2 linked regions of the Sus scrofa genome follow. The protein of the gene in region 1 purifies or fractionates together with the protein of each later gene. This does not show direct contact. Links are inferred from orthologs where the notes say so. Each region holds a gene or a part of one and is shown on either strand. Other genes may lie near its edges.

What was found. Proteins that work in one complex are often made in the same cells at the same time.
Region 2: the proteins of ATAD5 (region 1) and RFC4 purify together in Homo sapiens (affinity purification with mass spectrometry; 5 studies listed by BioGRID and IntAct, counting the BioPlex papers as one, with this or other methods). This does not show direct contact. The link is inferred for Sus scrofa from reciprocal best matches to the Homo sapiens genes ATAD5 and RFC4.

Annotation. Positions count from the first base shown.
Region 1 is NC_010454.4:42,917,634-42,921,884, forward strand, and holds the start of ATAD5 (ATPase family AAA domain-containing protein 5), read right to left. Parts: upstream 2,806-4,251; 5' UTR 2,397-2,805; coding exon 2,349-2,396; intron 241-2,348; coding exon 1-240. UniProt on the Homo sapiens protein: Has an important role in DNA replication and in maintaining genome integrity during replication stress.
Region 2 is NC_010455.5:124,601,618-124,605,588, forward strand, and holds the start of RFC4 (replication factor C subunit 4), read right to left. Parts: upstream 2,805-3,971; 5' UTR 2,511-2,804; intron 2,275-2,510; exon of another isoform or gene 2,253-2,274; intron 1,290-2,252; exon of another isoform or gene 1,287-1,289; 5' UTR 1,275-1,286; coding exon 1,144-1,274; intron 1-1,143. UniProt on the Homo sapiens protein: Subunit of the replication factor C (RFC) complex which acts during elongation of primed DNA templates by DNA polymerases delta and epsilon, and is necessary for ATP-dependent loading of proliferating cell nuclear antigen (PCNA) onto primed DNA.

The sequences.
Region 1 (4,251 bases):
CAAAGGTGTTTTACAGGCTTTGCCACGGTCAGCAGGCAATGGTGTGGATGACTTTATCTTGTACTTTTTTGCTGTCTGGGTCTTCTCATTTGTGGGTGAAGTCTTTCTAAAATAATCCAGAATGTTACTGGATTTTGGTGGAGAGAAAACCCTGTCTCCAGTTTTCCTGACTGGTGATAAATATTTTGTAATTGTTTTACAAGAAGTTCTGTCATCATCTTTCCTTCGCTTCTTGCATGCCTATCAATTTAAAAGAAGGAAAAAGCACTTATTTCAAGCAAAATACTACAAAACATAAATTTTATTTTATTCTATTGTATTTTTTTCTTTTTTAGGCACCCCGTGGCATATGGAGTTCAAAACATAAATGTTAAACATGGATCTATTATTTTATGTAATGGGACAAAAAAAGGAAGCTTCCCTTAGTTGATATACATGATATACTAGGGGGAAAAAGAGCTTTAGGAGTTCCCATTGTGGCTCAGTGACAATGAACCCGACTAGTATCCATGAGGATGCAGGTTCAATTCCTGGCCTTGCTCAGTGGGTTAAGGATCCAGTGTTGCTGTGAGCTGTGGTGTAGATCACAGATATGGCTCAGATCTGGCATTGCTGTGGCTGTGGTGTAGGCCAGTGACTACAGCTCTGATTCAGTCCCTAGCCTGGGAACCCCCATATCCCGTGGGTAGTCCTAAAAAGACCAAAAAAAAAAAAAAAAAAAGAAAAAGAAAGAATGTGTGACATGAATAGGCAGGCAACTTAACAGAATGGACACAAAAACTAGAAAAGGATACATGTATATTTAAGACTTTGGTATATATAAATGTAACAATAGTTACACTCAAGTTAGTGGGCAAAGAAGTTAATACATAGCATTGGGGCAAATTTCTAACCATTTGGATAAACATGAGGCAAAAGAGAGACAGATTAAAACTTTACATCTTAAAATGAAATGGTAAATGTATTAGAAGAAATGCTAATGAGTTGTTAGTATTATTATTATCCTGAGATGGTACCAGAGGCTCTGGAGTCAAGCAGATCTAAGTTTGAGTGCTGGCTCTGAAAGCTACCAGCATGGGACCCTAAGCAAATTACTTTTAATTTTCTAATTTATTTTTCTACCTTAATTCAACTTTTAATTCTTAACTTTCTCTCATCTTTAGAATACAGATAATAACACCTCAACACAGGATTGCTATTAGGTAAAATAATGTGTATAAGGCCTTTACTGTCACAATACTAAACAATATTTGGTGCCCTGAAATAGTACTCTAAGCAGGGCACCAAAAGAAGAAATTGTAACAAAAAGATTCAGAAACTGACCAAACAAAAAGCAAGAATTGCGTAATTCAAGTTATCAAAAATTCTTCACACCCAAGACAAACCCAGCAACTGCCTTGATCCAGCAAACAAGCATCTGCATAACAAATATTAACAAGAAGGCAAAAAGTACTCAATTCTATTTATTTATTTTTGCTTTTTAGGGCCGCACCTACAGCAAATGAAAGTTCCCGGGCCAGAGGTCAAACTGGAGCTGCAGCTGCCAGCCTACACCACAGCCACAGCCATGCCAGATCCTTAACCCACTGAGCAAGGCCAGGAATTGAACCTGCAACCCCATGGACACTAGACAGGTTCATTACCACTGAGCCACAACAGGAACTCCCAAAAGTACTCAATACTAAAAAGTAAGAAACAGTCCCAGTTCAGTGAGTGAACCTATGTCTTGGCTCACTTCAATGACACCAGTATGCATATGTCAGTTACAAGGCTAGCTTGGGATGAAAAGGTGTGAAAATATAGCAAAATTGTCTACTTGATGATACTCCACTACTTTATGACATTAGAATCTCTTTAGTGCATTTCACTGAAACTAGAACACATAAGAATAAACAGCATACCAAGCTGAGACTTCTTCCTGCAGTATCTTAAGTTCTAGAGCAATGAGAAAGTGATTTTTAAATTATGTACCTTGTTTGATTCCTGTAGTGACACACCAAGTGCTATTCCTAGCACAGGTGGGTGGACAAAAAGATTCTTTTCCACGCTAAAGTTCTGTGATTCCTTATCCAGACTTGACCCTGGAAGACTCCATGACATTTCACTAGTCCAAATTATCAAGTTTCAGGAACATTTCAGGATCTATAAACTGGTCCTTAACTAGGCCCCTCAACATCCTCAATCCTAATGTTTATGGGTACCTACCGCGGCTTTAGGACACACTCCAGCGACTGTTCCACCCAAAGACACAACAAAGGGGCCTCACCAGGTCCCTTCTTTCCCCTCATAGATCCTAGATCAGAACCCTCTTTCACCCACCTCCAACAAATAGAGATACTCAAGCTCACCTCAATCTCGTAATCCCTCACCGGAGGGGTGGCAGCTGCAGCCGCCATGGCCAGGACCCCACCATGCTCCCTGCTTCCCGGAATCCCAGCTCCTAGGACCTTACGCAGCCCGGTCCGACCTGTCTGGAGGCCATGGAGGCAGCCTGCTCCAACGGGAGCAAGAAGCTGGGCCGCGGGGTCTGCCTGGAACCCCCCGCGTCCACCGCCCGGGTGGTCGCAAAGGCTGGGCCGAGAGCTCAGCTGACTCGAACGCGGGAAGAGGTGGTGAGAAAGCGCGAAGAGGACCCTGTAGCGCGGTCGGTGGGGGGTACCTCCAACGAGGACACTCCAATTCCGACGTCGGGCCCAGGACCTCGGAGGGAAAACCAGGCCAAACGTAGACCCAACCCGCGGGCTTCCCAGGGAATTCTTGTCAATTGGGTTTTCGCGCCGTCCGGAGCGCAGGGGGCGGAGCTTAGATCGCTTCCGGAGGCTGCGCGGACGGTGAGCCGAGAAGGCCAAAATGGTTCTTAGGCGAAACTGCCGGAGGCGGGATTATTCATTTGGCTCTAAACGTAGCTGGGATCGTTGTTTTCCGCAACCGCTCTGGTCGCTGATGAGTAGCGGTTCGATCCCCCTGTCGGGCGCAATAGGCTAAGGATCTCGCCTGGCCGTAGCTGCAAAATACAGAGTATGTGGGGTACGTCTCAGCTGCGGCTGGGATTCCATCCCTGGCCCCGAAACGTCCATATTCCACCTGTTCGGCTGAAAAACAAGTAAAAGTAACGGAGATTTTGGAGATTCAAACTCCTCACCCCAGTTTCACGGATGAGAATGTGATTTGACTAAAGTCCGTTGGTGGCAGAATTAAAACCCTAGACTTTTGACGACCTAGACTAGTCCCATTTAAGTGTAAATTCGAAAAATACAGGAAAGGGAATAGCTGTTGATTACACTCCTTCCACACGACTTAAAATGTTACTTTGGCAAGCGACCTACCTCGCTACCTACTAGGGGTCCGAGAATTGACCTTTACCCCTAATTGAGCTCAGGAGGCATTTTTTCCCATGGATTTCGTCCTAGCAAGAAGCCAGGAGCCCAAGTTCATGGCCTCAGCTGGCTGGCGTGTGTTCCAGCTGTCGCAGGGTACCTGTAGTTTGCTAGTTTGTAGTGATGATAATCTCATACGTCATTTTCATTGTTTTCATGAATTTGCCTTACTTTGCTTTTTTACATTAAACTTGCAATATACAAGAGTATGTTTATTTTCTTTGAGTCCATAGTTTTATCTGCAGGATATGTAAGGGCTGAAACAAAACAGGTAAATGTACCTATCAAATATTAACGGGAAGCCACCTTGTTAGGTCGGGTTATGCAAACTGATTTTAACTGTTCACATTATTGTCTGTGTGTATGGTTTATGTCTGGACAACATGAAGGGTACAAATTTTTCCGATGAAATAAATGGTAGTTACTTTTCCTTTGAAAATTATTTGCCTTGGATGTGGTTTTTAGGGAGATTGCACTAAATATAAACTCTTTTGTTGTTATGGTTTGTTTTTTTAATAACCCACTGGGTATGGGAACACCAACCACTCAAGGAGGAGGGAGAGGAGAATGAGAAAAAGGAGGAGCAAGAGCAGGGAGGAGGAAAAGGAGGAAAAATCAATTAGAAAATTACAGAAAAAAATCTGAAAGTGTCCTTGATTTCCACCCCAAAACTCAGTCTCTTCACTCTAAAGGTAGCCAATATCACCTATTCCGTGGATACCACTGCAGCCTTTATTAATACTTTTACGAACGTATATGTATCCATAGAAAAGCCTTTCATTTTGTCTTCCTTTACATGAAAGTTAGCAATATAGGGGCGTTCCTGATGGTCTAATGGTTGGGATTAGGTGCTTTTACTGCTTTGGCCCTAGTT
Region 2 (3,971 bases), on another chromosome or scaffold:
AGTTTAAGCAATACAAAGTATAACAACATTTGTCTTACACCATTAACTAATGCTAAACTAAATAACACTCCCAACCCTTAGATTAGGCTCTGTGCTTAGTTCACTAATCAAAAGCTGGTCTTTTTTTTTCTTTTTTAAGGGCCACACCCACAGCACATGGAGGTTCCCAGACTAGGGGTTTAATCAGAGCTGTAGCTGCTGGCCTACACCACAGCCACATGGGATCTGAGCCACGTCTGCGACCTATACCACAGCTCATGGCAATGCTAGATCCTTAACCCATTGAGCGAGGCCAGGAATCAAACCTGAAACCTCAGGGTTCCTAGTCGGATTCGTTTCTGCTGCGCAATGACAGGAACTCCTCAAAAGCTATTCTTTGATTTATACTTTTCTAATTAATCAGGCCAATGCCAGGCAGGAATTTTATTTCAGATTATGTTATCTACTGTATATTATACACTAGGTTTCATATTCAAATACCTGCAGGGGCCAGGCAGAAGACAAGAGTGAAGAGCAGAATGTAAGGCAAGAGGCACTAGAAAGGACTATGAAGTAAGGAATGTATGACTTTACCAAAATGAGAAGCAGTACTCATGTTCATCTAAGTGCTGTCAGGTGAGAACCTGCATCTAGTGCTGCATCTCCTGAGAGGCTGAAAGTCTAGATCTTTTCTCTTGTATAATTTATTTAAGATTCTAGATTTTTATGTGAAATTTCCCATTTTTAAAAGTAGTGTTGGTGCCAAATAACACTTATGAAGGCATTATTCGGCTTATAAGTAATCCTGCAATCCTTTGATAATAACTGAGGATACACCAGAGGTTTCAACCACTTGTTAAAATATCATTTAGGAGTTCTCATTGTAGCTCAGCAGGTTAACATCCATGAGGATATGGGTTCGATCCCTGGCCTTGCTCAGTGGGTTAAGGATCCGGCGTTGCCGTGAGCTGTGGTGTAGGTCACAGACACAGCTCGGATTTGGCATTGCTGTGGCTGTGGTGTAGGCCAGTGGCTGGAGCTCCAAATTGACCCCTAGCCTGGGAACCTCCATATGCTTCAGGTGTGCCCCTAAAAAGAGAAGAAAGAAAAATGGTCAGAGAAGTAATTTATGAACTATTTTAATAAAAACACAAATGTTCTTACTATTTTTCCACCCATGGGACAGGTTTGGCTTTCTTGTTCTCTCCACTACTTCTGGCAGTGGCAGCTACTCCTCGATCCTTGGTCAATGGTGGTTTAGTGCTGATAGATGTGCCTTTTAGAAACGCCTGCATGGTTACTTCACCCTGACCAGGTGCGAGACAGAATAGGAAAGTTATCTTGAAACCATTATGAAGAAGTACAACTTGAAAGCACACTAAACTTTGTACAAAGATATTCAATAAATACTTGCTAAATAAAGGACATCACCCAATGACCTAGCATCCTCTGAATGCACTGTACTGAGGGCTAGAGGGACATAATGGAGGCCAAAGTGCTGAAGGAATTTAAAATTTATTTATAGTGAGCAAGCTATAGAATAAAGATAAATCTTATGACAAAAAAAAAATTAAGAGTTCCAAACTTCTTGGAATGGCTTCAACGGACAAACTGCACATGGGTTTCTCCAGACCCTTCCAATTCAGTCATGTGCCTAGCTCTAGCTCAGGCTCGGGAGTGGACTCAGCAATTAGGAGGAGCATTGGGACCCCAAGTTGGAAACTCCATTTCTTTGGGGTCTAGAGCTCTTACTGAAGGGCCTATTTTACTGGCAGAGCCCATGTAACTGCCTTTAGAAGCTTTTTTGGGGGGTGGGGGAGGACATGCCGATGTTAAAGTGGCAACAGCTGTTTTTCTGATAACAGGCTCATCTGGAGAAATCTAAACAGTGCAGAAAAGCGTGGGGAGTTTTAAAAATTCACACAAAATCTCACCCAGAAGATAAGCAGTATTAACATTCAGGTAAACATTCCTCCCAGCAACACAAGGCTGTTTTTAGGACAGCTCATCTCAAAATACCCAGCATTAGCGGCAATTCCTTTTTTTTTCCCACCGCTGTACCCTCAGCGCCTAGAGCAGTGACTGGTAAATAGTAGGTGCTCCGTAAGACTGGTGACTGAATTACCATTTATGAGACTCAGTTTCCCCCTCTGTAAAAAGAAATTAAGGCTCATTCCACAAGGTAACTGAGTCAATTCAAAGAATTGTGCACACCCAGTTCTGTGCTTGACACACATCAATAAACAAACTGGTAATGTCTGTAAACAACTAACGTTTCTAACATTCTTGAATTACTCCATCCCCGCCACAGGCTGCCGAACAATAATAACGCCCAAAGCAGGGCTCTGAGTGATGCTGGATTGAGCCACCGTTACACCAAACAGGGCGCAAAGGGTAGAAAGTGGCGAGGCTGGAGCGCTGGTCCAGCCACTGTGAGCACTTTCGTCGGGCGGTGGAATAACAGCACAGGGGCGCCGAGGGCGAAGTAGAGGAAGGCGAAGGCAACCCTCGCAATTCCTTCGGCTGGTCACCTGTTCTCCCCGGCTCCCCTCGCGTGTTCCCTCCCAGGCACTGCCTGGGCCTTTCAGACTCTCGTCTTCGGAGCGTGGACGCCGCCGGCTCGTTCCTGGGGTTTCCCGGACAGAGAGAGGGCCTAGGCGGTCACGGAGTCTTAGCTGCGTTCCCCAAGCCGAGAATGTCAGGCCCAAGAAGCCGAGGGCCGCCAGACTCAGGGCAGTTAGAATCGCCGGCGTCAGCAAGCCGCCCGAGTTCCCGCCAGGAACAGCCAGCGAAGGGAAGGGCGGGAACACGCCGCGCGTCACGCGTCACTTCCGGCCCGCCGCGCGCGCCCCGCTTTAAGGGAGCCGTTTCCTCCGGTTCCTGGTAGTTAAGCAGGTCAGAGGCAGACTTTCAAGGTTGCACAGGCTGTACAGGAATGACGGTGCTTCATCCTGTCCCCGCGCAGCCCTCGGACTGGGTTTTTATAGTAGAGAAAGCCGAGTAGAAGCCTGTGAAACCACCTTCCCCGCCCCAGCCAGGATGGTAAACCACAAACAATGCCCTATGAAGTGGTCTGGCAAATAGTAGTGCCACCTCCCCTTAAACACTGACGTAGGCAGGGATAGTGGTCTTTATCACATGCCTTTTCTGTTCATCGCTGTGGCCCCTATAGAAACTAGATATACAATGGAGGATAGCAGTGGGTTACTGTAAACTCAACCAAGCAGTAGCCTCCCAATTACAACTGAACCAGATACAGTGTCTTTACTAGATCAGATTAAAATGGCTTTATATATTTTGTTTTGTCTTTTTAGGGCCGCACTCATGGCATATGAAGGTTCCCAGGCTAGGGGCTGAATTGGAACTGTAGTCGCTGGCCTATGCCACAGCCACAGCAACGTCAGAACCGAGCCGCGTCTCCAATCTACACCACAGTTCAGGGCAATGCCGGATCCTTAACCCACTGAGCCAGGCCAGGGATCAAACCTGCGTCCTCATGGATCCTAGCCAGATTCGTTCCCGCTGAGCCAGGATGGGAACTCCCTAAAAAGGACTTTAGATATATAGTATATGGCTATCAATCTGATAATGTGTTCTTTTCCGTCCTTATTGGAGGACAGAAACAGTTCACATTACCATAGGACAGGACACACAATACACTCACAGTGTTGCCCTCAAGCTATGTTGAATCTACCCTTGGCCATAACATAGTCTCAAGGACCTGGGCCATCTGGACATTCTGCAGAAGATCACGGTGTTTACTATATTAAATGATAAAATAAGAAGTGTCAAATACACTGGAAGAGTAGATAAGGCACATGCATTCCAGAGGACAGAAATAAAGGCTAGATGAAGATTCAGGGAGTTACCACATCAGTGAAGTTTTTAGAGATCCAGTGACTTGTGGCAAACTGGAACATACCCTCTGATCCCCACTGAATAAGTACAAATTATCTCACATCCCACACAACGAAGAAGAAAGCATGATGCCT